4 linked regions of the Saccharomyces cerevisiae S288C genome follow. The gene in region 1 interacts genetically with each later gene. Each region holds a gene or a part of one and is shown on either strand. Other genes may lie near its edges. The genes, in order: ARP1, TUB3, BNI1 and MYO2.

Region 1 (5,725 bases):
GGATAGAATTCATAGTGACTTGGTCCATCGCAGTGATCAATCACAACATCTGCATCACCGTCTCTTCACTCTACCGACGAGATCAGCTTCGGAGTTTAAAAAAGCAGATCAAGAACGGATCTCTTATAGAGTGAAACGTGATCGATCGCGGTATTTAACCGATGAAGCTCTTTACAAGTCTTTCACTTTACAAAATGCAAGATTTGGGATACCAACGGATTATACCAAGAAGAGTTTTGTGTTAAGAATGTCTTGTGAAAGCGAACAGTTTTTATTACGGTTCTCTCATATAGATGATATGATTGACTGGTCTATGTACCTATCAATCGGGATATCTGTGTCTTTGGACTTGGAAGTCAGGGAGTATCCAGATTATCGAATTGTTCCCAGAAGAAGGAGAAGGAGAAGGAGGAGAAGGAGGAGAAGAAGACACACTCATAGAAGTGAGAGTTCGATGGGGTCTTTTTCGCAGAGATTCATTCGTTCGAATTCCAGACCGGACTTAATCCAAAGATATAGTACCGGGTCTAGCACTAATAACAATACAACTATCAGGGAACGCTCGAATACTTTCACAGCTGGTCTACTAGATCATTACTGCACTGGCCTCTCAAAGACGCCTACAGAGGCATTGATATCTTCGGCTGCATCAGGAGAATCCAGTGATAACAGTACCCTGGGATCAACAAGGTCATTATCTGGTTGCTCAGCTTCCCGTTCGATTGCATCTAGAAGTTTAAAATTTAAAATTAAGAACTTTTTCAGGCCTAAAAATTCTTCACGCACAGAAAAGCTTCACAGACTCAGGTCCAACTCAAGTAACTTAAATAGTGTTATTGAAACGGAAGAAGATGATGAACACCATGAATCAAGCGGGGGAGATCATCCAGAGCCTGGTGTTCCAGTAAATACCACCATTAAAGTAGAGCGTCCAATGCACAGAAATAGAGCTATTTCCATGCCCCAAAGACAGTCATTGAGGCGTGCAATTAGCGAGGAGGTTGTCCCCATCAAATTTCCAAATAGCACAGTGGGTGAATCAGTTCATTCACCCTCTCCTATTGAGCATCTTTCCGTTGATGGCTGCGAGATTATGCTGCAATCACAAAATGCGGTTATGAAAGAGGAATTACGGAGTGTTGCGTCGAATTTGGTAGCCAATGAAAGGGATGAGGCATCTATTAGACCTAAACCTCAAAGCTCTTCGATATACCTATCAGGATTAGCTCCTAATGGGGAATCCGCCACAGATTTATCCCAAAGCAGTAGGTCGTTATGTCTCACAAACCGTGACGCTGAAATCAATGACGATGAAAGCGCTACTGAGACCGATGAGGACGAAAATGACGGTGAAACCGATGAATATGCTGGCGATGATACTAATGATGATACTGATGACAGTAATATTGGTTATGCTTATGGCAGTGAAAGTGATTATTCATGTTTAATTGAAGAACGAATAAGAAATCGAAGGCGAGCATCTTCTACTCTAAGTTGCTTCTCCAATATACCTTACGGAACGGATGATATTAAATGGAAACCAGCTATTAAGGAAATTTCAAGAAGGCGTTATTTGAGGGATTCTCTGAAGTGCATCAAACCATTTCTAGATAGTAACGACTGTTTGGGTAAGGTTATCTATATTCCAGTTTCGGGACCAACCTTTGAAACAAGTAATAAAATTCACTTTAGCAACCGCCAGAGCTTACAGAAGCAGAAGAATCATTTTTTAAAAGGCTTCATCGTGGGACCTACGGCGTTGATAGAACTTAATTGTAAAAATAAGAATGCAATTGTTGGAACAACAAAGGACGCTGAAGATCATGGGGAGGACGACGGTGACGGTGATGATGGTGAGGATGATGATGACGACGACGACGATGATGATGATGATGACGACGACGAAGACGACGACGATGATGATGATGATGATGATGACGACGACGATGACGATGATGATGGACAGATTACTGCATAAGCTGTGATGCAGTAATCTTGTTTTTGCAGAATTAATATCATGACTAAAAGTATATATATTATCATCGGATATATGCTACATGATGAGGAGTTTTTCTATTTCTTTTTTATTTCATTCTATACACTTTGGATCGTGTTTTTTCTTTTGCACTTGAGTTTCTTTTCAACATTATCATTCGGTATATTTCACGATTTTGACACCGATGTTTACATAAAAGTGGGTAATTATATTTTGCATTTTCTCGAATTGAGTAAAAATAGTAACCTTTTAAAGAATTCTTCAGAAATGTTAAAGCATTTCCGATTGGCATCATTGATGTATATGTACGTATATACTCAGATGATTTGCCCCTCGTTACTTGGCATCAGGAATTAGCAAGGGCTGTAAAAAATAAGTTTAAATATATATAAATGGTTGCGAACTAAGACAGTATTGTTTTCAACTATTACTTTGTCATTGACTAGTCTATACAAACTAATGATTTTCTACTAGGTCTTACTTCGATTTCTCGACACCGTACTCCAAGAGCTAAAGCTTTCAATACGTATGGATTGCTTCGTTGCTCAGAAAGGTTAACATTAATCATTTTAAGGTTTTTGTTTATAGACAGTACTTTATTTTCGCTTCATTTTTCCAGTTTATATTTCAATTTAACAAAGGCAATGCCTCTAATTTCAAACAAGCAACATAATACAGTATTTATTGATCAACGTTTGATTAGAAGTTGAATTTTGAATGGGTATCGTCTGGTAATTCCAAAGAATAAAAGAAATACCTGTTTTACCATGATAAACAGTGTTTATTATACCACGTTAAAAATCATTTCTTGAAGGTAACGCTTTCATCAACCTATAATAAGACTACAGAAAAAAGCTCATAAAAGAATGCTAAGTAGCATAATGTTCTGAACAAGAGCTCAAAGCAAAGGACACAGTACACCTGTGTGACGGTGAGTTTCCTATTGCCTTCTCTTTTTCCGTTTGTATTAATCTTTTCAAGAAAAAGTTCATTTCCAAAGTGGCCATTTTCGCGATGCACATCAATAATGATAAACACCTTTATTGAATAATAGCGAAGCAAATAGCAGATATTCCCAATAAAACAGCAAATTAATAAAAGGGCATAGACCAAGGAGTACATGCTAATGCTATACCACGAATTGAGGAATTAGAAAGAAAGTTAGCCAATGGACCAGCTAAGTGACAGCTATGCTTTGTACAATCAACCGGTAGTGATCGACAATGGTTCTGGGATCATAAAAGCAGGATTTAGTGGTGAGGAAAGGCCTAAAGCACTGGAATATTGTCTCGTAGGAAATACCAAATATGATAAAGTTATGCTCGAAGGTCTGCAAGGAGATACATTTATTGGAAACAATGCCCAAAAACTGCGTGGATTATTAAAATTACGATACCCCATAAAGCACGGCGTGGTGGAAGATTGGGATTCTATGGAACTAATATGGTCATATGTGTTAAATGAAGTCCTACAGTTGCAAAATATAGGTGAGCATCCTTTATTAATTACGGAAGCCCCGATGAATCCTTTGAAGAATAGAGAGCAGATGGCTCAAGTATTGTTCGAGACCTTTGACGTATCGGCTTTGTACGTTTCAAACCCTGCTGTTCTGTCATTATATGCTAGTGGGAGAACTACAGGTTGTGTAGTTGACTGTGGTGAAGGATACTGTAGCACTGTTCCCATATATGACGGCTTTGCATTACCTGCGTCTATGATGAGGATGGATATTGGAGGAGCAGATATCACAGAGCAGTTACAATTTCAACTACGGAAATCAGCTGGTGTTTCGTTGTTTTCCAGCAGTGAACGAGAGATTGTTCGCACGATGAAAGAGAAAGTTTGTTATTTGGCCAAGAATATTAAAAAGGAAGAGGAGAAATACTTACAAGGTACTCAAGATTTAATCTCGACATTCAAATTGCCCGACGGGAGGTGTATAGAGGTGGGGAATGATCGATATCGTGCTCCAGAAATATTATTTTCACCTCAAATCATCGGCTTAGGGTACGATGGATTATCTGATATGTGCATGCAATCTATTTGGAAAGTCGATCTGGATTTAAGGAAACCTTTACTGTCATCGATAATCCTAAGTGGCGGAACTACAACGCTTAAAGGCTTTGGAGACCGAATGCTATGGGATTTGGAGGCATTAACCAAAGGAACATCCAAGATAAAGATTATAGCCCCTTCAGAAAGAAAATATACTACATGGATTGGTGGTTCTATTTTAACGGGGTTATCTACCTTTCAAAGACTTTGGACCAAAAAGTCAGATTGGCTAGAGGACAGTACCCGTGTTTATTCGAACCTAATGTAAGAAACAGAGTCGTTAGATTTTTCAAGCATATTTGTTATAAATAGCCATTGATACGTTTATATTATTTTTACAAAAAAAGGTAATTAAACATGCATGAACAACAAAATTGATAGTAGAAGAGACGGCAACAAAGGTTTAAAACGAGAAAGGAAATTTAAAACAGTAGAAACCAAAAGTTGATATGCGGCTTCAGCCGTTCTGAACCTTCAAGATGGTGTTCGGGTGTGATTTATTTAAACACAGTAGTATCTGTCACCAAAGTCACCCAACCCTGGAACTAGATACTTGTTTTCATCTAGACCTCTGTCGAGGGCACCAGTAACAATTCTGACCTCTGGGAAGGCGGCATGGTATTTTTCAATCCCTTCCTTACTACAGATTAGGTTTAAGAAGTAAATTCTCTCTGGCTTAACACCTCTCTTAATCAAGACTTCTGTAGCCATGATAGCACTACCACCGGTGGCCAGCATTGGGTCTAATAGGAAGACATACCTTTCAGATATATCCTCTGGTAATTTTTCGTAGAATAACTTTGGTAAAGCAGTCTCCTCGTCCCTTTGAATTAAAATTTTACCGATACGCACAGACCTACAACAGTCTCTTAATCCTTGCTCCATCGATTCACCAGCTCTGACAATGGAAACACCACAGATTTTACCCATGAATGAGACACCTTCGAAGTTTTCGTTGGTGTCAGTTTCCACAATTTGCTTTTGCACAGGTAGATGGTTCAAACCTTCTTCAACCAACAATCTGATGATTCTATCGGAGTAGAAAATGAAATCAGGTCTAGTTGTATTCTTATTTCTGATGATGGTGTACAAACCCAGCAATTGGTTTGTTTGAGGTAGCAAGTAGACGTTCTTAAATGGTTCCGAAGACATTTTTTGCAGATTTCTAGGTTTGCTAACGAAAGACCCTTTGTTTGGATAATATATAAGATATGTAAGGTACAAGAATGGAGAAGCCAAAAAGAATAACGGGTTCATGGTTCAAGAAGAAATGAAGCTAGTATTGGAAGAGGATTCTTACCAATATATATATCTCTTTTGAGGCAGCTTTGAAAGAAGAAGTGAAAAAAAAAAAAATTTTGAAAAAAAAGACGGAAAGGGAAAAGTCCGCCGGAGATAATTACAACTGTCGATTTTTTATGCGATGAGATAAGCTTATAGAAAAACCGGCCTTTCTGTTATTGCAATGACCTGCTTTATAGTTTATGAAATAATTACATAGGTCGATTACTAGTAGAATGAGGTATTGTTATTAGGCAGTCATGAGAAAGCATGTCTTCAAAAAAATAGTTTGTGGCGGGGATTTTGCTGATTAAATACCTTGTGAGTGTCGTTGACAAACTCTAATACGACAAGTGGGACGATTCATCAGATGCAATCACCACTTGGATGCGC
Region 2 (5,092 bases), on another chromosome or scaffold:
ATGAAGAGAATGGGTAAACTCCACAGGATTTTCAATTCACCAGACATATACGTGGTGATTGCAACACCAACAACGAATAGCGCGGCAGGAATATAGATCCCGTGGACAGGTTCGTCTAGAATGTTAGTTCCTTCTATGTCTTCTTTTGACATTTTCTTCACGCGGTTCTTGGAGTGCTTCCTTTTTTGTGATAAGTTTGGGTGGCAACGAGATGAGCTCAAAACTCTTTGTTTTTTATGGGTATTTTTGTCTTAGAATATTTTCAAATTTTTCAATATTCCGCGGAACATAGGGAAAAAAATAAATTTAATAAGCTATTGTTCTAACTGTACACCTAAAGGTAAGTGAAAAATAATTCGATAATTAGAGGTATCTTTATTTGGATAGAATATGCATATATATATATAAGCGTATATATATATATATATATATATGTATATACATATGGACATTAAGTAAATATAAATCTATAAGTGGGTATCGGGATCAGAGCCACTTTCTTAGAACTCCTCAGCGTAAGAATCGGCACCCACTTCAATATAATCTCTTTCTAAGGCAGCTAAATCTTCTCTAGCTTCGGTGAACTCACCTTCTTCCATACCTTCACCGACATACCAATGGACGAAAGCACGTTTGGCATACATCAGGTCGAATTTCTGATCGATTCTCTTCCAAGCGTCCGCGATGGCAGTGGTGTTGGATAGCATGCAGACAGCTCTATCCACATTGGCTAATTCGGAACTTGGTATCACACTTGGTGGCTCATAACAAATACCAATCTTAAATCCTGTTGGACACCAATCCACCATTTGTACTGTTTTTTTATTCTTCACCTGTTCGACGGCTCTTTGGACATCTCTGGTCACCACGTCACCTCTGTATAACAAACAGTTAGCCATGTACTTCCCCTTTGTTGGGTCACACTTAACCATTTGATTGCCCGGTTCGAAACAAGCGTTTGTGATTTCTGACACGGAGTTGGATTCATGGGTGGCCCTCTTCTTGGACAAGATGGGTGCGTAGGAAACCAAAGGGAAATGAATTCTTGGATATGGTACCAAGTTGGTCTGAAATTCGTTCAAATCCACGTTTAATGAACCATCGAACCTCAAAGAGGCTGTAACAGATGATATCACTTGGGCAATCAACCCGTTCAAGTTGCTGAAGCTTGGTCTAGAAATTCCCAAGTTCCTCTTGCATATATCGTAAATGGCTTCGTTATCGACCATAAACGTACAGTCTGCGTGTTCCAGGGTGGTATGCGTGGTTAAAACCGTGTTGTAAGGTTCCACGACGGAAGTAGACAATTGAGGCGCAGGATAAACGGCGAATTCCAATTTGGATTTCTTCCCGTATTCATACGATAAGTTTTCTAATAACAGGGAACCTAAACCGGAACCAGTTCCACCACCGAGGGAGTGGGTGAACAAGAACCCTTGTAAACCGTCACATTGGTCGGCCATCTTTCTAATTCTTTCTTCAACTTCATCCACTATTTCTCTACCCACTGTATAATGGCCTCTTGCGTAGTTATTGGCGGCATCTTCCTTACCGTTAATCAATTGTTCTGGATGGAAAAGCTCCTTGAAACGTCCTGTACGTACTTCATCGATAACATTGGGCTCTAAATCCACGTAGATTGCTCTTGGGACGAATTTTCCGTACCCCGTTTCATGGAAGAATGTAGAAAATCCTTCTTCACCTCCCTTAGGTTTTGACAAGCCATCCTCCAAATGGCCGTCTTCCTTGATGCCATGCTCTAGGGAGTACAATTCCCAGCATGCATTACCTATTTGACAACCTGCTTGACCAACTGTTGTAAAAAAGAAAAATAACAAAAGTTCCAGCAATCCTCCGAAGAAGAAGACACAAAAATCACTCCCCATGTAATGAGGTCAATTATGAGCTTTTTCGTCCGAGTATGCCCAGAAAAAATGGAGAAAAAGAAACTGTTAGTAAACTGTGCTGGTACAAGTCAAATTATTTGCCGTAAATCAACCAGATGGTGACCAATTGGGAATGAATCAAACCAGATCAGATCAAACTTCTTTCCCTGTCCCACAGGTGCCATTGGTTGCGAATATTGAACAAAAAAAGGAACGCATACATACCATTAATACTAATGACCTCTCTCATTGTCTCAAGTCGCTTGCTTAGTCGATTAATGTACTTTATGAGATACCTGATCTGTGTTTATATTTCTTTTAGATGTGCAATTTGTAAAACGTTTCGTGGTTTCCAGAGGCTCGAGAAATGATATGTCGGGTAACGTCTGGAACTAAAAAAGAAAGGACGATATGCTCTGCTCTGGCACCAGCCAACAGGATGGCAGAGAGATGTGAGGAAATAATGAAATTAAAAGAAATTATCGAATAAATATGTAACCTGACAGTATTTATAGATTATGTAAGGGGTTTGATAATAAGTTTATAAAAATGTTTTTGTATTATTTGTTCTAGTTTACAAGTTTTAGTGCATCTTTGAGGCTTTTATGCTTCATGTTGAAGTTGAGATGGGCTGGAAGATTCAATGTCATTATTCTTGTTTCTGAAGTTTAGCGTAGCAGGATCGATTTCATCGTGGTATAGCTCGTTAATTTCTTCTAGAGTCTTTCTCTTAGTTTCTGGGATCAACAAGGTTGTGAAGATACCCAACAACATGAATAAGGCGAAAATTTCCATGACGTGAGGTAACCAACAGTTGGTTGGCTTACCGTCTCTAGCACAGTTATGGTCGATTAGAGTACCCAAAGCGGTTTGTGCAATAATGGCACCGACCTTACCAGATGCAGCAGAAATACCATGAGCAGTAGATCTGTAACGAGTTGGGAAACACTCACCAGGAACAATAAAGGTGGTTGTGTTTGGACCGAAGTTTTGGAAGAATTGACAAATGACGTAAAGAGCCAACAGACCATGGTCACCAAGTTTATGGTATGCGAAACCGATGACACAGAACAAAGCGGTCAAGATGATGAAACCGGCTAATTGAATTGGTTTTCTACCGATTATATCGACAGTGAAGACGGATACCCAGTAACCAGGTAATGAACCAGCACAAATCAAAATCAGATTACCGACAGCAGTATCATACAGTTTCTTGTAAACGTTTTTGGAACCGGCATAACCGATGGTTTGCAGAATAACAGCACTGTTTAAACTCAACCCGTAGAAAGCAACATCTAAGGTAAACCATGAACCAGCAGTACCTAGCAAAATCTTACCGTACTTCCATTGACCAAAATGTCTGCAGAAATCTTTGAACGAAGCCTTTGGAGGATGATTGTCAAGAGATTCGACGGCAGTAGAAGCTCTTTCCAAACCGTTAATTGCCATGTCTTCATCACTGGTGTCGTGAATTTTCTTTTCGCCATCTTGTTCTTGTGCGGCAGCAGCAAGTTCCAACTTAGCGTTAACATCCAATTGATATCTAGGAGATTCTGGAATAGTTAATCTGAAATACAAACATGCCAACCCTAGAACGGTACCCAACCCAATAAGGATTCTCCACATTTGGTCACAAGCCTTTTGACATCTAGCATCACATTCAGCACCAGAGTTTGCGTATTCTAGTTCGCCCTTGTAAGCAGCAACCAAGATAAGAGCGATGATACCACCGGAGATTTGACCCCAAGCTTGGTTAGCAAAGACAGCACCCATGATGGCACCTCTCCATTTGGTAGTGGCAAATTCAGAAGTAATAATAGAAGATAGTGGGTAGTCACCACCGATACCAATACCCATGACAATACGGTAGAATGTTAAAACAGCAACGAAGTTAATAGCAGGAGAATGAGCAACAGTGGTTTGCAGAATGGTACAGACAATCATGATAATAAGTTCCATACCATAAATTCTCTTACGACCAACAATATCAGCTAAAGTACCAAAACCAAATTGACCAATAACAGTACCAACAGAAGTGGAAACCTTCAACAAGGTTTGACTTGGACCTGGCATACTACCGTGCCAGTAAACGTAGGACATCATAGTGATACCCAAATTAATGGCAAAAATATCATAAGAATCTGTCAAGAAACCAACACCAGCAATGGAGATGGTCTTAACTTGTTGCCAACCGAAACCTTCGTCATCGATGGACTCCAAAGCCAATCTTCTTCTTTCCAGAGGATCTTCAATATGAGCAAAATCATTCAAATGGTTGTGGAAGGCCATGTTACCACCTTCGGTAAGGTGTTCTTTATGAAGACTTCTTTCAGCAACATGAATAGTATCTTTATTGACGGAACTCATTTGGATTGTATTCGTGGAGTTTTGTTTGTTGTGTGCCCTGGTGATCTACGAGATGAGGAAAGATAAAATTTAGAAGTGAACTTAGAACTTTACTTTATACAAGAGATGAGGATGAGCTTATATATATACGTATACGAGCCACAATAGTAAGTGGATCTAAGTTGGCATTACCGGTGTGCAATGTGGTTGCATCATGCTGCCAAAAAGGAATAATAATTAGCTCATAGATGAGGTCGGTTAATTAATGAGTAATACGCACGTTTTTAATCTAGCTAATAAGCAGGCAAAACGGGAGAAGAGGGATAAGGAAAGCCTTTCACACGACATTTGGTGCATAACTGCACCGATCTCACTGATTTCGATGGACTGCGGCGAACCATAATCAATTGCCGTCGCTAATTTCCGCCCCACGTGCTGGAAATAACACGTCCACGTGGAACTATTAAATTGGCATCGGGCGGTGCGGCAGTGAGAGGAACGGGTGTTTTTCAGCCGGGCAACATTTTCTTCATAGCCGCTAGATGAGTTGAAAGGGCCCTTACGAGCAAATGCTGCACGTATAGGGCGCCTATAACAGCACCAACGTGCGTAATACTGATTGCTGTCATTTCTTGGCATGTTTTCTTGGTCAAGGTCTGTGATCTCCCCTTCCGGTTGTGTCTTTTCATAATAATATGGTTTTTTTATTCATAATTTGGTAATAACGGTTGATAAACGAGCGGCTGATAAATTAGTTTCTTTTTTTTTTTAATTTTTTTTTTTTTTGATCTCATTTCTTTTTTTATTGAATCTTTTTTTTTTTGTAAGAAAATTAAGGTTTATTAGGCAGAGTATACCGA
Region 3 (10,007 bases), on another chromosome or scaffold:
CTCAGCGTTTTCAAATTCAGTCTGATCAATTGCGCTTTCTTCTCTAAATTGCTCTTCTAAATCATCCAAATCTTGGAGTAACTTCTTCTTTTGTATCTTGCGTTGAGGAGCCTTTTTCTTTATTATAGAACGACCTTTTTTATCTCCGCAATCGCTGTTTTCTTCATTATTATTTGCCGACTTAATGCTACTTTTGTCATCTTTCGTTACCGTGTCATCACCTTCACCGTTGTCTATACTCTCTGGTGAACTAGAATCTGCGCTACTTGTAGTAGAATCTGCTAGAGAAGATTCATCTTCTGATGAACTATCTGCGGTTGAATTATCTGTGGAAGACCCATCTGAAGAGGATTCATCACTTGAAGATTCACCCGTAATTTCATTTTCCATATCTCCACTTTCAAAGTCAAAAGCGTCGCTCTTTTGACTTTCTTCTGCGCTAGATGAAGAAAAAGGTCTTTTTGCGTCCTGCTTCCAAAGAGCTTTGTCCTGCAAGCGAACCGATATAGCATCGTTTTGATCCTCATCGCTGTCATCCTCAACTAACGGTCCAATTTTTGAAGAAATTGAATCATCCACTGCCCATATGCCAATATGAGTCCAATGAAGTATACAACGCAATTTACACAATTGCAGCCATGCTCTTTGAATATTAGTGGTAGGTTGTCCTGGCTTTGCATTTGTTTCAGAAGAAAAAATCTCCATCTTTGGCTTATTTTTTGTTGAAGAATTGATACCAAGTCCTGCCATAAAACTTAAACGTTTGGTTTTTTTGTCTTGAGAAGAAACCCTGCCGTCTCTTTTGGTATGCTTCGTTACTTCAGAGAATTTTTCCAAATCTTCCTTGGTAATGTTCTGCGTCGTTAGCTTTTCTAAATGCCATGCGCCTACCTTCAATGATCTCAGGAAAGCAAAGATTTCACATGTCTGCCGCAACTTTAGCAAACACCAATGACACAAGGGATACGTATTCGTAACTTGTTCTTTACCGTCGTCAGTCTTGTGCAACGTTTTCAATATATACATCCTTGCGTGTTCGATAATGTCATCTCTAGATTCTCCACAAAAGGAACATGCGGCGTGCACTGCAACTGGAGGTGAATCTAAGGGAAACTTGAACATTTTTGGCATATTCGAAGTGGCTTGCTTTGCAGGGCTACTTGAGTTGTAGCCAATTTGGTAGGTTGCATTAACGCCGCTTAGGGGTTCCACGACCACCAAACCATCTATAATCAAGGAAAGTAGGGTTTTTTTAACCAACCAGCCGATGCCTGAAGCATTATCAATCTTAAGTATAGGCTGGATTTCATCATTTACCAATCTTCGTATTAACTTTGATTCGGTTGAAGTTGCCTTTATGTTTTCACAACGGGGTAGTGCAGCGACAAATTTTAGAAATTCATTGTAAAGGCTTATATCATAACGAATAGATGAAATGCTTGGCGAGTACACAATTCCGCTATAAATATCTTGGGAAGCAAGAGAATATGAAGTTGGAACTTTATTCAAAGAAGTGCTAGAAGAAGTTGCTGAATCACTCAATATTGTGGAATATCTGTTCGAATTATTTGTGACTGTGCTTTCATTATCTAAACTATGCATCACTTTTTTCAGATTCTTGAGCTGTAGGGTCAAAGTATCCAGTAATGTGTCCTTTTCACGCAGTTGTTCAGTGAGTCTCTTATTTAAGATTTCGATAGCATATTTCTCCTTTCTAGCATCAGCAACCATATTATTAGCCTCATCAAAGAGGGAAGCAGTCAGATCCTCAACTTCTTTATTTAGTTTATCCGCTTCCTCTTCAGCTTTAGTTCGAAGCTCATTTTCTTTGGCTATATCTTCACGCAATCTTTTCACTTCGTCATCTCTGTCTGACAATTCTCTTTTTAAAGTGTTGTAATCTTCTTTCAACTGATTATAGTTTTCAATTGCTGCCTTCTGGCTGGCTATTGTTTTTAAGGATTTATTAAGCTGTTCTTCTAAGTGTGACTGTTTATCCACGCTCTCGATCAATTGCGTAGACAGGGATGTAACCTGTATTGATACTCTTTTTGCTTCCTCAGAAGCATCCATATTGAAACCTTTATCAAACACAGCTAGTAAAGGAAAATATATCCCAGTGAACTAAAGGTCAAAATTTTCTACAACTTTTGGATGGAAATCAACGTTGCTACAGCTGCAAGTGACAAATGATATTATTGCACGAATCACTGTGCTTGTCACTTAGGTAAACGAGAGCCATGTTTTAAAGGTGCTTCAGCGAACGCGAAATACAAGTTCCGGGTAGTCACATGGAAACAATGGCACATAATAAAAGGAATTATTTCAAAAATGCAATAGTAGAGATCATTTGAGTAAAGATGAATGTAAAGTGTATCATAAGTGATCTATAAACATTAAAATTATATATATATATGTGATTTAATGATTCGTGACTATTTCTTTGTACTAGTGCTTGTTTGGATGTTTGTTTTGGTATTACTGTTGTCATAATTTTTTGGTTTAATATTTTATTTGAAACTTAGCCTGTTACCTGTGCTAGCCTCACCTATGGATCTTTCCTTGCGGGCCCTCAATTTTTCTAGATGTTCATCGAGTATGGAATTTTGCTTTACTGGTGTGTCAGAGCCTCTTAGCTCCTTTAATAACATTCTAGCTCTGTCACTAATTTCCTCTTGATCTTCCAGCGCAGATGTCTTGGATGGCGATGGTAAATCTTCAGAGGTATTCATAACACCCCTTGTGGCAAGCGGAGTGGGTGATTCAGCGTGAATCACTGTATCGGCAGTAGGGTCCATAGCTTCTGGAGAATAAAGAATAGACCCTTCTTCAGTATCCAAATCGTTGAGTAATTGTGGAGCGTTGTCTTTTTCAGAAAGATATTTTTTCCTCACTAGGGCTCTCTTTCTGGCGGAAGATGGGTCACTTTTAGCAGGACCTGCATTTTTCAACTGTTCTAATAGTTTATCCATAACAGCGCGCCTATCTTCTGCTTCATCCTCTTCATTTCCTTCAGATGAAGGCGAATTGCTGTTCTCTTTTTGTTTTTCCTTTTCTTGTGCCCTTTTTTGCTGTTCTTCCACTATTTTCTTATGCTTTATATAAAGTCTTTCTTCTTCTTCCGCGGCTAGATTTTGCGCTTGAGCTTTTTTGTATTCATTTATAAAATCTGCAAATTTCTTAAAGAATGAGATTTTTGCAAACTTATCACCAGAATCTTCACCGTACGTATGCATCAGACTTTCAAATTCCATGATAGTCAGCTTAACTTCGTCTTCTAACAAGTCCCCCTTTTTTCTGGCTTCCGGTAACACGGGCAATGTTTTTATCAAAACTTTATCTAATGGATGAAACTTTGAGGAATCGCTTAAATTACCAATTTCAACTGAACGCTCTACGTTTACAATCGATTGGCTAAAGTCCTTACAGTCGTTAACTAACTGCTCAATGGAAACTTTCACGACATCCAATACAGGTTCTAATTCACTTAGAAAGTCATTGAAGCTTGGATAATTTAACCTGACAATTTTTTCGACGTAATTTAGAAAGGTCATGCTATTGGTAGTATCCTTGATAAACGTCAACCTCTGCAAGGTTGAAAGTTTGAAACCTTGTGCCTGCTTAGAAGTGTCGTTCATGAAATTACCAACTGCTAAGATAACATTAAAGACATTGCGCAAGTTATCTGATTCTTGAAGCGCGCTAACAGCTTTGTCGACTTTTCTTAACTTTGCCAATAACTCATTATATTCTCTTTCATACGAAGTAACCACTGTGAGAGCTCTCATACGTGAACCCCAGTATGATTCTAGATTAACCATCAATTGCAAATAAATTTGGTCAGCCCTCTGTAAATCGTTTGGATCTTTTTCAGGGGGCTTGGCATCTTCGAGATTCCTCACGCCCTCCCAGTCTGTCGAATACGGGGCGTAATTCCTAGCTAAATTAACAGAAACTTCAATTATTTCAGATTTTGACAAAAACTCAACAACACTCGGTGTTTGCAAAAAATCCCTATCGCAGTTTAGAATCTTTTTCACCAGATCGGCAACCGAAAGTGATGAATACATATGCAAATTGATACCAAACTGTTGAGAAATATCCCTGGATAAAAATGTAATTTTCTGCAGATCTTCCTTGCGCTTGCTTGCTAATGATTTAATTTCCCTAGCGGCAAAGGCCTTTTCTAAATCAGCAAGAACACCCTTTTCGTATAAGTCATCTGCGAACTTCTCAGCTTTACCTGTACCCCAAATAGAATTATCAGTACAATCTAATTTTTCCCAATGCAGTTGCTTTAATTTCTTGTGTGGACGAGGATACTTTTCAAATAATGAGGGCGATTGAGGAAGTAATGGTGATGTTACAGCTGATTTGATTTGCGATGCCGGCATCATAGGTGGAGCTGGCGGAATGACGCCATCAGTAGATGAAGATAATACAGATGGTAGCGGCGGCGGTGGTGGTGTTTCTCCCTTGGGTTTGCCGAACAATGCCATGGGTGGAGGAGGAGGTGGTGGTGGTGGAGGGGGAGGAGCAGGAGAATCCCCAGTAGTTTCTTGCTTGACAGTGTCGTCTTCCGACTTTTTCTCTTTCTCCAACGATTCACCGAACAATTTGGCGGGAACTGGAGGAGGAGGAGGAGGAGGCGGTGGCGGCTGTGAGGAGAGTACAGATGATTGAGTAGAGAGATCTTCTGCGCCATCTGTATTATTCAGTTTACTCACAGCGCTGAAATCCGCTGTTTTATCTTCTTCATGATTTACCACACGCCCTTGCTTTCCGTTTTCCACATGTTGTCTCATGTCTTTCTCAGCTTTGTCAAAGGCGGAAGCTGCACTTGCCGTGCTGTTTTCCGGTAAAGATTTTTTATCTAGACCTTCATCTTCATTTTGTTCATATGGTTCAACTTTATTTACCTTCTGTGTTAACTCCTCTAAATATGGAGCAGAAGACACGGTGGATTTTCTGAGTCTGTTCATAAAGGTCTTTTCAACTTTACTATGTAGAGGTCCAATACCCGAACCGTTATTGTTCTCTCCAAAAGCAGCCGATGCAGTAACATTTTGACCAGTACCATATTTTTGAGATAAGGCATCGAGAAAAGACCCAGGACCTGATCCTGAAGATAGCTCTGAGTGTTCGCTCCTTAGTTCTTGAGTTGGAGATGCGTCTTGGTATATTTCCTCACTTTCATCATCAGAACTTGAAGAGGAAAGATCGCTTTCCCCATCTTCTTCTACTTGTATTTCGTGTTCGGTTTGAGTCTGAATATCTAACAACTGGTCCGTTATTCTATTAATCTCGTCTAACTTTTTCTGATATGTCTTAGGGTCAAGACTGGCATAGTTAGCGTCTTCTTCCGTTTCCACGTCCCCAGTATTTTTCTTTGGACTGTCCATAATCTCGTCGACATTAAAGTCAATACCAAATCCTTTGTATTTTGTTTCTAGTTCTTTCAGTCTCTTTAAAGCCAGAGATTTCTTTTCATTAAATAGCTCATTAACACGTTCTTCGACGTTAAATTTGGAAATATCATTACTTTCCATTTGGATTTCAGCCAAAGCCCGCCTTAGGTCATTTAGTTTATTTACGTCCGCCTCTTGAGGCTTGACTAAAGGTTTCCTATCCTTATTTTTCATCTTCTTCACTTTGGGCTTCTTAATATGTATTGGAGGTTCAAGACGATCTTTCTCAAATTCAGCAAAATTTGTCATCTCTAGTTGCCTGGCTTCATTTTCAATATTTTCCATTTGCATTCTTAACATTTTTAATCTCTTATTAGGTTGAAGTGTCATGCCGAATTTTTTTGAATCATCCTTGTAATCCTTTTTTGCTCTTGATAATCCGTCCTGTAACACCTTTTGGATATTCGCTTTCTCTGAAGAATTTAGGCTCGAGTTCATACCTCTGGTGCCTTCATTCTTATTGAAGCTTTCTTCAGGCCTCGAATTCAATATAGTCAACATTTTTCTCAATTCTACCTCTTGCTGATGCTTTTCCAAAAGATGCTTCTTTTTCAACTCTTCTAACTCAGCTTCCAGCTGCTGCATAACTCTCTGATTCTTAGCTAAAATACGATCTCTCTCATGCAACTCATCTTCTAACTGTCCAACGAGTCCGTGCTCCGCCTTGCTTAACTTTTCACTTAAAGAATCCCTTTCTGCCTGAATTTCTTCCAATTTCTTCGTTAGAGCTCTACTTTCTAATATAGCTCGACGTGCAACTTCATCAGTCTGCATGGCATCGTAAAGCCGCTGGATAGCCATATTCATATTAGTTTCTTCATCAGAAGTTGAGGCAACACTAACATTAGTCACCAAAGAATCCATAAGTTTCAATTGCTTAGTAAGTTTAGAGGAATTTTGGTTTTCTTCTATTAACTTTGAACTAGAAAGGAAAAGATGTTGAACTAAAGATACTAAAAGCTTTTCATTCTCGGTACCTTTACATATATCCCAAAGGTTTTTTAATAATGATAGTGGATCGTGTAAATCTACATTAAAAGCCTTATTGTTGGCCTCTAATTTAACGTTAAAATCGTCAAGTTTATTATTGTCATATAACTCAATTTGGTCAATTACCTTGTCGTAATCTAGCAGTTTTATTTTGTTCATAATTCGTAAAATTCCACAATTTTCTAGTTTCGTCCTTAATAGCATTCTTTGATTTATGTTATCAGAGCAAGAGCATAAATGATTGATAAAAACCATTGTCCATTGGCAGTATTCTAGAATCGCATTTTCACCCCCACCATTTTTAAATTCATCCGACGCGCCTACTAAGGAACCCATTTTTCCTCTTCCATCTAAAGTTTGTTCAACGGCAAATAACCAGGCTTGAATAATTTTCAAATGACTTTCCAAGGTTAAATGAGAGAAATACTGGGGCATTTTTTTGAAGTTTTGAATCATATGAAGATTTTGCCCTATCCTAAACTTTTTATCTAGTGAGGTAAGAACTGCTTCGAATCTGCTTTTATTTTTTTTTTCTAGCATACAAACAAAAATTTCAGTGGCCATTTTCCTTGTGGCCAGTTTCGTAGAGAATAAACCTTCTGCAACAGTATCAGTCATTAACCTATGTGTACTGAACTCATACAAACCTTGTGAGAGCATTGATAAGACTCTGAAGCATTTAAAAAATGAATTTTCTTTCTCTAATAATTCTTTAGTCAAGTTTTCTCGGGGTGCAGTCTTATAAATAGAGTTCATTAGTACATTAGCCATAGCAATGTGACCCTGATGGTCTATAAAAGCGTCTACCCAGTCTAACTGTTCAGTTCTTAAAGTTACCCATAAATCTTTCATCTCATCGCTAGTAAGTTTGTCTGCCAGGATTCGTTGCACATAATGTATCGGTGGTCTGTTTGTTCTGTCTCCTGGAAGAGTAGATGCACTCGTATTGTTCTCAGCCCCACCTCTATAAATATTGTTTAGAGATGGCTGCTTTTTCAAACTCCCGCTCACTAATTTTTTCCCCTTCGAGGTTGACGTACCTACCGATGAAAGAGTAGTAGAATGATTTAAACTGTTGCTGTATACAGTTGAGGTGGGAGAAGAGGCGCTTGTCATCAAAACAGATTTGGGAGACGAAAGAGATGAATTAGCCGTAAGGATAGGATGATGGTCCGACGCCATCGAAGTTCTGGAGGCAGTGGAAGAAGATGTAGTGTTTGCTCGCATTTTTTTTAGCTCATTTTGTAAATCCTGCTTAACAATCAGCCATTTCTTCTCAATGCTGTAGCCCATCAGAGCTTCTTGTTTGTCCTCTGATAAAGACTGAAAAATATTTCTTTTATACATAATATCTTCAAACAAAACTTCCACCTCGTATGGGTCCGACGGCATTTCTAAATAAATTTTACCATCGGGTGTAGTGAATTTGCTCAAGTTAGTTAGCGAACCTTGAGAGAGAAGACTTGATGCGGAGTGACTTTGCCCGGTATGCTGCCTTGTTAGCTTATTGGACGCCTGTGAAGAATTCCTCTTGGAATACGAATATTTCGATTGCATTGAATGCGACCTTGCGTGCTGTGAGGATACGGGAACATCTCCACTTAATTTACCATTCATATATTGAGACAAGTTTTGTGTGTTTAATGTCGATTTTTTATTCAACGGCCTCGCCTCAGTAGATGTAGACCTAGAAGGTGCATTCAGTTTTCTAAAAGATGACGAAGATGCAGGTGAAGTGGACACTTCGTTTCCCACTGGAGAGTGCTGTTGTTGGGATGCATAGGTCGGAGAACCCGTATTGCTATTCGTTGCATTTGAGTTAGCCAAACGCTTCAAATTTTGGAATATACCAGAACTCGAATTCGAATGACTTTCCTTTGAGTTCGAATGTTTGGAGCCTGAATTCTTCAACATTTCCTTTCCTTCTCTTCCTTTCTTGCTTCTCGTTTGTTGAAAAGGTTCAGGTGCCTTCTTTATGTGGCGTGTATTTAGAATTTAACTAGGCTTGAGTTAAAATGTTTCTCCTCAATACAGAAGATAGATACAAATGGCAAAAAAAAAAGTAAAAAATGGCCCAACTGTATGAGACGTATAAAAAACGTGAAGGGTGAAGAAAAGAATGCCACTGTCCAATTTTATGCTTAATACGAAAATAATTAACACACAGCCGTCAGTGTCCTCTTATCTGTAGGAAGGGTCCGTGCTATTGTTCTTAAAAGGGATTCTAGTTTTCCACATCTGTTTTTTCTTTCTTTCCCTCTTCCACGTCAAAAACTTCCTCTAACCGATGTCGGGTAAGCCATGGAAATTACGGGCGATGACTTTCGGCGGCTAACAACGAAACAACTAGGGAGTAATCATATAATCACAGGAAAAGAGTTGAGCAAGGATTTGGCAAATATACATATACATACATACATACATACATACATATATATGTGTGTGTGTGGTATGGAGTATTATTCTAAAATTATGAAAGGACATCCCAAACTCGTTGCCACCTTGTTTTACATTCTGGCTCTATCCATACCAACTCCTCTATTTGCCGGCGGTCAGAATCGATATCGATATCCTGCAGCTTCCAGAGTAAGCGGCACTTAAACCAAACTTGGAATGATAACCATATGGCCAAAAATAGGAATATTGATATATATGCAGCGACAAAGTCTATAGGCTGAAAAGTAGGTGCGAAAGCGGTGAAGCCCTGGATCAGAACAATTAGAGCGATGAAAAAAGATGCATAATATGCCAAAAAAGGCATCATTTGAGCTTTATAAGGTAAGTCATCCCTCGATATACCACGTTTCCTTATGGCTTGCATGAAACGGATATGAGAAAATGAAATCAAAAGCCAGGCAAAGAAACCGGCCACACCAGTTATGTTCAATAACCAGTTAAAGGCCTTGCCGCTGCCTGCAGAAACCTCTAAGAAAGCCAAAAATCCGAACACGGATGTAGATAGAACAGAAAAGTATGGAACACCACCTCTGGTCACGTTAGACAAGAACCTTGGCGCCAAGCTATTTTTAGACAGACTATACAGTACTCTTGAGCCAATGTACACATTAGAGTTACCTGCGGAAAGAATGGTGATTAGCACGACCGCGTTAAATATATCTGGGAGAACTTTTGTGCCTGAATTCTCAATGCTTATCATAAAGGGCGATGAAGAGACAAATATACCGTCACTATCCAACTTTGGGTCATTATATGGGACCAAAAGGCCAATGAAAAATAGTGAAAGAATGTAAAAGACTAGAATCCTCACTACAACTTTCTTTATTGCCCTCGGGAGAGCTTTTCTTGGGTTAGCCGCTTCACCAGCGGTTATCCCAACCAGTTCAGTACCTTGGTACGTAAATGCAGCATTAATCAAAGAGGAAACCCATCCGAGAAAACGGCCCTCATTTTTATCACTGGAGATAATGCCAGGCCCCCAGGCTCCTGGATTTCTCCAGTACCTGAAACCGATGGGTCCATCAGATTGTCCCGCACCACACACAACACAGAATGAGAAAATGATAAAACCGAGCAACGCGATGACCTTTA
Region 4 (9,145 bases), on another chromosome or scaffold:
TCAACAAGGTTGCTGAACGTGGTGAAAGGCTAACATCCATTGAGGACAAAGCTGATAACTTGGCTATCTCCGCACAAGGATTCAAGAGAGGCGCCAACAGGGTCAGAAAGCAAATGTGGTGGAAAGATCTAAAAATGAGAATGTGTTTATTCTTAGTTGTTATTATTTTACTAGTGGTAATTATCGTTCCTATCGTCGTCCATTTCAGCTAACGCTCATCGGTTCCCGATGCTAATTCTAAAAAATATATACAGTAGTCATAATAGTAATAATAATATAATCATAATTTATAAATTCAGTAAGAAGCAAAATGTAGTTTAATATAGTGTACACTAATACGGCGCGCGGTTAATATCTTCCATAATATCGATTTCATTATCATACTATTGACAAATACTTCTATTATTAATTAACTATGTAGTTTCATTTTTTTTTTTCTCTTTTTTTGTCATTTCTTTTTTTAGCATTCATGTACAATTTTGTTTCTCGCGCCATCAGTTTTAGTGGCCGTCTTGAACGACTTGTTGGGCAACAAGGTCAACTATTCTCTTAGTTGAGGGCAAGGATAACCACGCTGGTATATAGGCTTCTACTTGGTCAAATTTTCTTGTCTTTATCAAACTGAATGGGTCAGTAAATGGACCTGTTTCTGGAGTGATAAATATACTGCTGCTATGCTCGTGACCCTTAGAATCATTACCTGATGAAGATAACGCAGCTTCTTTCTTAACTATATCAGCAACGTATCTTAAGATTTCCTGTGGAATTGGAGACTCATAGTCTGCCACCTGGTATTGTGAAATCAATTTTTGCAATTGTGCAGGTGTTAGCGAATAACAAATTCCTCTTAAGATATCAATGTCTTCGATAGTATACTTACGGACTTGCAGTAGCTTAGCGGTCTGAATCAAATGTTGTAAGCACTCAGTACCATCTGTCAAGCCATGCGTCTTGCACCATTCCTCTAATCTAGTAACGTTGTAGTTCAATTGAAGACCCCTTTTCCACGACAAGAAATTACGTTTCATGATTAATTCGTTAAAACAAATTGCATCCACATAATTCAATAAGGTTGTGACTACAGCATGGAACACTTCATTCTCAATATGAAAAGATTTCATGCACCAGTATATGCTGTTGAAAAAGGTCAAAATGTCGTCCATTGTATATTCTTCAGTGTTAGCAAAAATTTTGTTCAAAAACCCGCTGGTTTCTCCCGCGCTGAAACCTGGTAATGATTCGGAGATGACCACAGCATTGATGGCCTTTTTTTGCAATTGCTTCTGCAATTTCTTCAGCCAAATGTTATATATATTATAACTTAGAGCTTCGAAATCATCCTTTAGTTCTGTGACCAATGAAACATACTCCTTATACTCCTCATCGGTCATGCCGTTTTTGAACGTTTCTTCGGTTAAAATAGAGTTTAGAGCAAACACCACAAATGAGTATAACTCTCTAACGTTTGCTAACCAGAATACACCGCTTGGAATTAAATCGTTACCCTTCAATTGAGTGACAACTTTTTGAATTGTAGTCAATACTTGGGCAAGAAAGCTTTCACTTTGCTTGGTCAGCCCAAATCTCCACATTTCACTTAAAACTATAATCAGTATTCTAGCCGGATAAACAACGTCTCTTTTACTTAGTTGAATAGCTACACCAGCATCCGGTACTTCGAATCCCTTTAACAGGCCTTCCGTGATTTCTTGATTCAAAATTTCAGTGTCCTCCAATAACCTGTATAACTCTTCATTGATTTGTGTAGCATTGACACCATTTTCGCGATCGACACTCAATGAATCAATGTGGTTGTTTCCGGACGATGGAGTAGATCTAGACTTTAGATTCAAATCATTAGGAGATAAGTCGGAATTCTCAAGCATCATATTGTTGAAATTTGAAGCACCGCCTCCCATTACATCCTTTAATGGTGTTTGAGGTAGTACACTAGTAGTAACGGTGCCCAGCGACATGGCAGTTTGTAACCTAGCAATTTCTTCCTTTAAAGATTTAACTTCGTTTTGCAAGTCTCCGTTTAATGTCTGGTATTCAACCAATGTTTTCTTTGTTTGCTCTAATTCTTCAAGTTGCTTTTTAGATTCTTCTTTCAATTCATCATGTTGTTTAACCATGTCCTCCAACTCTAATTGAGCGTCCTTTAGAGTTTGTTCAGTGGATTGCAAATTGTTCTCAATAGTTTTTTGTAATTCCATATCCTTAGATTTCTGATTATCAATATCTATTAAGTGCTCTTTTTTCATATTTTCTAATGTCTCTTGTAACTTGGCACTTTCTTCCACTTGAACCTGTAGTTCTTTAATTCTTTCTGTCATTTCTTTATTTTCTTTGACCTTGGATGCTAGATTCTGCGTCAGTTCAATCACTTTATTCTCTAATTTATAGCTCACTTCTTTCAGATGATTAACTGATTTAGCGTCTGCCTTCAATTGTTTCAATTTCCTTTGAGCAGCTCTTCTTCTGATCAAAGATTGGACAACAACAGTGTCTTTTTTAGTGCGTAAAAATCTCGATCTCGGCTCAAAGGTCCTAACTTTACTTTGAATAGTTACCGCAGCATTATATTCATGTTCTTGTTTCAGTTGTCTTTGTTTTAGTTCCTTTCTAATTTTCTTTTGCAAATTTGTAATTGTTCTCAATACGCTGAACACATTGGCACGGATGGAATGACCCCTGTAAGCGGCCTGTAATAAAGTTGCACAGTTAACTTTCATTTCATCATTAACGCGTTGACGAATGATGAAACCTTTGATGTTGTTCTGCAAATACTTGATGGCCTGAGATATTTGCAAATACTGCTTACGGTAATATTTAGCTCTAATTTTCTTCTGGATCATAACAATTGAATTATGCATCTTATTGCTTCTAAGTTTTTCCAGATATGCAAGCATACCTGCTTTGAAGAAAATTTTTGTATTACCAATCTGGTACTTGGATTTGTCCTTTACAGTAGCATCTAGGATCATTTTAACCACTGATATGATATCTTCTTCTGTAGTTTCCTTTTTTTTGAAGATTAGGTCCCACTGCTCATGTGGTATCAAGATGTAATATCTTAATACAAATTCTTCAAAAGTCCACCTAGAAGGAAACCCAGCACAAGATATTCTAATAGTTTCCAAAACACCACAGGCTCTGAGTTGAGACAACACCATCAAATTATCAAATTGCCAAGCTTCTTTATCTGCATTAGGCTTTATACAACGAATATAATGAACATTAGTTGAGTTGATGGTATTCATTAGTTCAATCAAAGATTGCTTAAACATGGAACCTAAAGTGGGTTTCCTGTTAACCGTTCTTATCGGACCTGGCTTTTTACTGCCAGCCTGCTCTAATTCAAGCTTTTTCGCTTCTTCCAGTTTTTTGGCAGCTTTTTCTAATCCCTCTAAGATATTTATTAGTGTCTCGTTGGTAGAAGCCTTCAACACTTCCAAATGTCCGTCAGATACGGTGTCTCTATTTTTTTCAATAAATCCTTCCACATCATAAGCGACATCTAGAGCATAATGGCTCACGATAAATTTAGTTTGCCCGAATCTTGGTTTAGAAAATACTTTGTTCGTAGGAGATTTATCCAAAGTTTGATAAAGTTTTTGGGTCCAAGATTCGTCGGAACCAGCAGGTAACCTACTTTCTTCGTCAAGCAGTGATAAAATACCCAACTTGTTTTCAATCAGATCAATACAAGGTTGATTATCATTAAACTCTATAAAAGACCATTCAATTTCTTCTTTAACGTATTCTTCTTGCTCTAATTTGAAAACATGTTGGTTGAACTCTTGTTGTAGTTTTTCGTTGGCATAGTTAATACAAAATTGTTCAAATGAATTTTTTTCAAAATGTTCAAACCCATAAATATCCAGAACACCAATAAATGAGCTAATTTGGTCGTTCACAGCCGGGTTGCATAACACGGTGTTGATATTTTCCACAAGCCAATCGAAAAGGGCGGAATAAATAAACTTAGCCACGGAATCTTTGGCAACCAGAGCTTGACTATAATTTAGATTCGAAACAATTTTCTCTGACCTTGTAATGATCTGCTTTTTGGTGACCCATTTGGCAAAGTTGTAGGCATCAATTCCCAGCAATTCGCACGCCAGTTTCAGGTTTGGCTCATCAGCTGATAGTGATGCATCATTTCTAGTTTTTTTAATTTCTATGTTACCGATATGCAGAAGTGCGGCCAAGATCTTAAATATTTGGTGTTGAGTTTCCTTGGTGATTCCGACTAATGTCAATGCATCTACTGTAATTTTGTATTCTTTGGCATCATCAATACCGTTGATCTTGGTGTCACCGCCTTGGTTCATGTAGAAGTAATCTGAGGCATCGGTAAGATGCAATTCCTCCTTGGTTTGAGCTGGTAATCCAGCCATTAATTGATAAAATATGTGGTAGTTTCTCTCAATTGGCGGCTGGTAAACTAATCTGGACCGTTCCAACAAGTATGTGCGGATCCTTGCTCCAATAATAGATGTGTCCTTATCGAATAAAATTTCTAGATACTTACCAAATCTGGAAGAATTGTCATTTCTGGTAGTCTTAGCATTACCAAATGCTTCCATGATAGGGTTTGTAGCTAGAATCTTTTGTTCTGTTTCCGACATTTCCACTTGATGTTGTACAGTAGCGGAATTTTCCTCTTCTACAGAAGCAAAATAACGCATAATATACTTGGCAGAAACCGTTTTTCCAGCACCAGATTCACCACTTACCACAATGGTTTGATTTTGTTTGTCATTTTTCATCAACCTATACGCTTCTTCGGCAATGGCAAACAAGTGAGGTTCCAGTTCACCTCTGCGCTTTCCCGCATATGCTTGGATCATGTCTTGTGTATAAAGCTGGTCGACACGATCAAAAGGGTTTGTAGCAATCAGAACAATACCCGAGTATGTGTAGATATTCAATTGAGAATAGCGCTGTTTGATGGCATGTAAAACAGCTGGCTCATTCAAGTAAGATAAAGAGGTCAAATCTTCCGTTGCTTCCAAAATGGGAGGGTTTCTAAGAAGCGGTAGAGATTGGTCCTTATCGTTATTCAAGTCTTTTGTGTCCACGGACACGATTTCATCGTCTTCCAATTGTAACTCCAGGTGGTACTTGCCGTCGTTGAACTCATTTTTGATTACTTCCGCCCCAATCCAGCCCAATTCTTTATGGGGATACCAGCATCGTGTACCCACTTCAAAAGACATTATACGCTGTAATATCTGCTGTTTTTATGTCCTATATGTACAATGGTATAAGTATCGCTGTCCAATGGAATGGTGTCGAATAGTACCTTAGAAAACAAAAAACAAGCAAGCAGCCAGAAATCGAACGAATAATTTCAAGCGAGAAAAGTGAAATGACTTTGCGAGACTTTTTTGTTCTCTGATTGGCCTTGCAAAGTTGATAGATCTCTGAAACGCAGGCTACGAATCGTATCAAATGAAGGCGTGTTTGGGATTTCTGATATTTGGCTTTTCGAGAAGCGCGATCATAAACAAAAAAAAGGAAAAAATCACAAAATAGCCCTGGGTCGGGTAATAGTTTTTGCCCTACGTTTTCGTAAATGTGTCACTAGGTGCAATTGCCAATAATTAATTGTAACCTACTCAATATCTATTTTAGCCCTACATACGTTAGGGTCGAAAATCTGTTGGGGTTTTGGTTTTAACAGCGTAAACTAAACCAGATAAGCATCGAGAAACGGCGCTTGGCACATCGTATATCAACAAGACAAACCAGTGACCGGAGTTCTGAGGCGTCTTCGAGCCTATTTATTTATTGATCTGGGTCGGATAGTTCACCCTATTTGTGGAGGAAAAGACCTTCCCATATCTAAATTTTTTTTTTTTTTTGGTTTAAGTTATAGTTGATACATTAAGTGAAAATGAACTTGCTAATTGACCGGATGGAGAATCCCGGATCGAGGAACTGTACCCTGTTACCTCCTTCATTCCCAAGAGGCTTTTGTAAGGGAAGAAGGGCTTCCAGTGGCGACGCAGTGAAGATAAAAGAATCCGGTCTACAGCCGCAGCCGCAGCCGGAACCTCTACAAGCTAAAACAAATGTTGCACACTTTTCGAAATCATCTTCTAGATTACCTGTCATAGCAGTGAATGATAATCCGGTGGTCCCAAGACCAAGCACTGAAGTAAACTTGGGATCGTTGTTACAAAAGGAAAGGGAGAAAGAAAAGGAGGAACAGCCTGCGCTGCATGATAGGAGACATTTATATGTGACAAAGAATAGGGCACATGGGGTACGACAACGTTCATTGGAAATGACTAGCTTACCTGTCCTGGGATCGACCAAAACCGGGAAGTTTAGCGATTTTTTGTTTGAAGATGACATCGATAACAGAGTAGGTCGACACAGTAGATCATATAGTGGGGCATCCAGTTTGGATGATCCATTCAGAGTGTCGCCGAAAACCGACTTCAACTCTAATAGGGCCAGATTGTCTTGCCTTAGTAAAGGACGTCGTGGTTCGATGTCCGTTTTCCAAAGCTGTCATACTGGGCTAGCTTTCAATCAAATACAGGGTTCCTCCTCTTCGCAACGTAGATCATCCGCTGGTTCTTTTGATTATGAGAGGAAACGATTGGTTAACCAATTTTTACAGCCTTCTTTGGGAAATTCAGACCCATTTGATACGTTGAGGGAGTCGGTAGTGTTTGAGCCCTCATCCACCGCTGGCGGCATTAAATTAGGGAATATGCATTCTCAATCACAAATTTCCGTAAACTCCTCCCCCAGCACATCTTTGTTTTATCATGATTTGGACGGTTCTGCTGTCAACGATTCTTCGTCATTTCTGTATTCCCGTTCTAATGTACCAGCATTTTTGTCGTCATCAGCCTTTTCGTCCACGTCATCCACCTCATCAGATTCAGAAGATGTGGATAGAAGAAGTTTAAACGGTGTATATCCCTCTTTAGGATATTTGACTAACCAGAGGAAACCAAGGAATTCATCAGGCTCTTCCACTGCACCTGGCACCGATACCTTGGGATTTAAGTATTTACTGAATAGGCAGAAGTCAGCGGATTCTTCCACTAGGTTCAAGAGTGTACTGAAGGTGAACAATAATAATGGCTCCGCAGCCACTCCTGATTCTAGCTCAAACTCTATTTCGAAGAGCAACTCAAATTTGAATGATAACATTGATGAATTGAATTATTATCAAAATCATATTTCGACACTTCTAGTGAAGATCGAGAATGAGATGAGAAGAAATTTAAACGATACAATAATCAAGAATGAAAACAACGTTCAAAAAACTATCCAAAAGTATGATCTTCTATCAGGAGAGTTAACCCTTTTATTAGACGAAATGACCACCTTGCGAACCACGGTGATTAATCAATTCTTGGTCAAGTTGAAATCAGACTTTGACGAGGATGACAATAAGGCGTTTATTAATGAATTAAAGATATCAGTCGAAGAAAGTGTAGCGCAATTACAAGGATTGGAAAGGAGAATGGAGGTTTGCCAAGAGAGATTAAATAAACAAAAGTCCTCTCTAAGGGAAATGGATAGTTTGATAGAGCTGAAAAACGTGTTAAATAAATCGAAGAACAACACGAAATCCATCTACCTGTATAGGTATTTCATCATTGACATTATTGCATTTCTTTTGATGGGCGGCTTTATCGTTTACGTCAAGAATTTGTTAACTCGTTTTTTTACTCGTTAAAAAGTCAAAACAAGGTCACTTTACAAAAATGGTACGCGTACAAAGATAAAATCACCTCTGAACATAATAATATACATCTATATACATATATATATATATATATATCACACATCAATCAACGCGCATGGACATTTGAATCAATGGGGCAGGAAAGGCGATGCAGTGGCCAAATTTCTTTGTTCATTTGTGGCGTTGGGTCAATGAGTCAAAAAATGAAAAAAGTCGACAGACGTTTTTCAAAAAGCTTCAAGAAAAGAAGAGAAAAAGTAAAAGCGTATTGGTAAAAAGAGTAAGAACAAAAAGGAGCACAGGCAACCAATATAAAGATGTCCAGTTCACAACAAATAGCCAAAAATGCCCGTAAAGCAGGGAATATTTTGAAAACCATCTCAAACGAGGGCAGATCAGATATTTTATACAAAATTCACGATGCCCTGAAGGCTAATGCGCATGCCATTGAAGAAGCGAATAAAATCGATTTAGCTGTTGCCAAAGAGACTGGCCTAGCGGATTCTTTATTGAAACGTCTCGACCTATTTAAAGGGGACAAATTTGAAGTTATGTTACAAGGTATTAAGGATGTAGCCGAACTAGAAGACCCTGTTGGCAAGGTTAAAATGGCCAGGGAATTAGATGATGGCTTGACGTTGTACCAAGTAACCGCTCCAGTCGGCGTTTTGTTAGTTATCTTTGAATCCCGTCCAGAAGTTATTGCCAATATTACCGCATTGAGTATCAAGTCTGGTAATGCTGCAATTTTGAAGGGTGGTAAAGAGTCTGTGAACACGTTCAGAGAAATGGCAAAGATCGTTAACGACACCATTGCACAATTCCAAAGTGAGACTGGTGTTCCTGTGGGCTCTGTGCAATTGATCGAAACCAGACAGGATGTTTCCGACTTGTTGGATCAAGATGAGTACATCGACTTAGTTGTTCCTCGTGGTTCCAATGCCTTAGTCAGAAAAATCAAGGACACTACAAAAATTCCCGTGTTGGGTCATGCGGATGGTATCTGCTCAATTTACTTGGATGAAGACGCAGATTTGATTAAGGCAAAAAGAATTAGTTTGGATGCAAAGACTAACTACCCAGCTGGTTGCAACGCTATGGAAACGTTGTTGATTAACCCAAAATTCTCTAAGTGGTGGGAAGTTCTGGAAAACTTAACTTTGGAAGGCGGAGTGACTATCCACGCTACAAAAGATTTGAAAACTGCGTATTTTGATAAACTGAATGAGTTAGGGAAATTGACAGAAGCAATTCAATGCAAAACCGTTGATGCTGATGAGGAGCAAGATTTTGATAAGGAATTTTTATCCTTGGATTTGGCTGCCAAGTTTGTTACATCTACAGAATCGGCCATTCAACATATAAATACACACTCTTCGAGACATACCGACGCTATTGTAACGGAAAATAAAGCAAACGCTG

What was found.
Region 2: mutations in ARP1 (region 1) and TUB3 together harm fitness more than expected from each alone (negative genetic interaction), as found in Saccharomyces cerevisiae (4 studies listed by BioGRID, with this or other methods).
Region 3: mutations in ARP1 (region 1) and BNI1 are lethal when combined (synthetic lethality), as found in Saccharomyces cerevisiae (7 studies listed by BioGRID, with this or other methods).
Region 4: mutations in ARP1 (region 1) and MYO2 together harm fitness more than expected from each alone (negative genetic interaction), as found in Saccharomyces cerevisiae (4 studies listed by BioGRID, with this or other methods).

The regions. Positions count from the first base shown.
Region 1 is NC_001140.6:361,593-367,317, reverse strand, and holds ARP1 (actin-related protein 1), read left to right. Parts: upstream 1-3,164; coding exon 3,165-4,319; downstream 4,320-5,725. Other genes in the region: YHR131C (uncharacterized protein), read left to right, coding at 1-1,978; YHR130C (uncharacterized protein), read left to right, coding at 2,018-2,353; FUR1 (uracil phosphoribosyltransferase), read right to left, coding at 4,553-5,203; YHR127W (uncharacterized protein), read right to left, coding at 5,674-5,725. UniProt on the Saccharomyces cerevisiae protein: Core component of the dynactin complex which assists cytoplasmic dynein by increasing its processivity and by regulation of its cargo binding.
Region 2 is NC_001145.3:21,548-26,639, forward strand, and holds TUB3 (alpha-tubulin TUB3), read right to left. Parts: upstream 2,137-5,092; coding exon 2,112-2,136; exon of another isoform or gene 2,017-2,111; intron 1,814-2,016; coding exon 501-1,813; downstream 1-500. Other genes in the region: PGA3 (cytochrome-b5 reductase), read right to left, coding at 1-152; phosphate transporter PHO84, read right to left, coding at 2,490-4,253; YML122C (uncharacterized protein), read right to left, coding at 4,491-4,871. UniProt on the Saccharomyces cerevisiae protein: Tubulin is the major constituent of microtubules, a cylinder consisting of laterally associated linear protofilaments composed of alpha- and beta-tubulin heterodimers.
Region 3 is NC_001146.8:127,012-137,018, forward strand, and holds BNI1 (formin BNI1), read right to left. Parts: upstream 8,373-10,007; coding exon 2,511-8,372; downstream 1-2,510. Other genes in the region: guanine nucleotide exchange factor SEC2, read right to left, coding at 1-2,073; arginine permease ALP1, read right to left, coding at 8,929-10,007. UniProt on the Saccharomyces cerevisiae protein: Required for the assembly of F-actin structures, such as actin cables and stress fibers. Nucleates actin filaments. Binds to the barbed end of the actin filament and acts as a leaky capper, slowing both polymerization and depolymerization.
Region 4 is NC_001147.6:921,801-930,945, reverse strand, and holds MYO2 (myosin 2), read right to left. Parts: upstream 5,226-9,145; coding exon 501-5,225; downstream 1-500. Other genes in the region: SNAP receptor SNC2, read left to right, coding at 1-212; FRT1 (Frt1p), read left to right, coding at 5,906-7,714; PRO2 (glutamate-5-semialdehyde dehydrogenase), read left to right, coding at 8,041-9,145. UniProt on the Saccharomyces cerevisiae protein: Myosin heavy chain that is required for the cell cycle-regulated transport of various organelles and proteins for their segregation.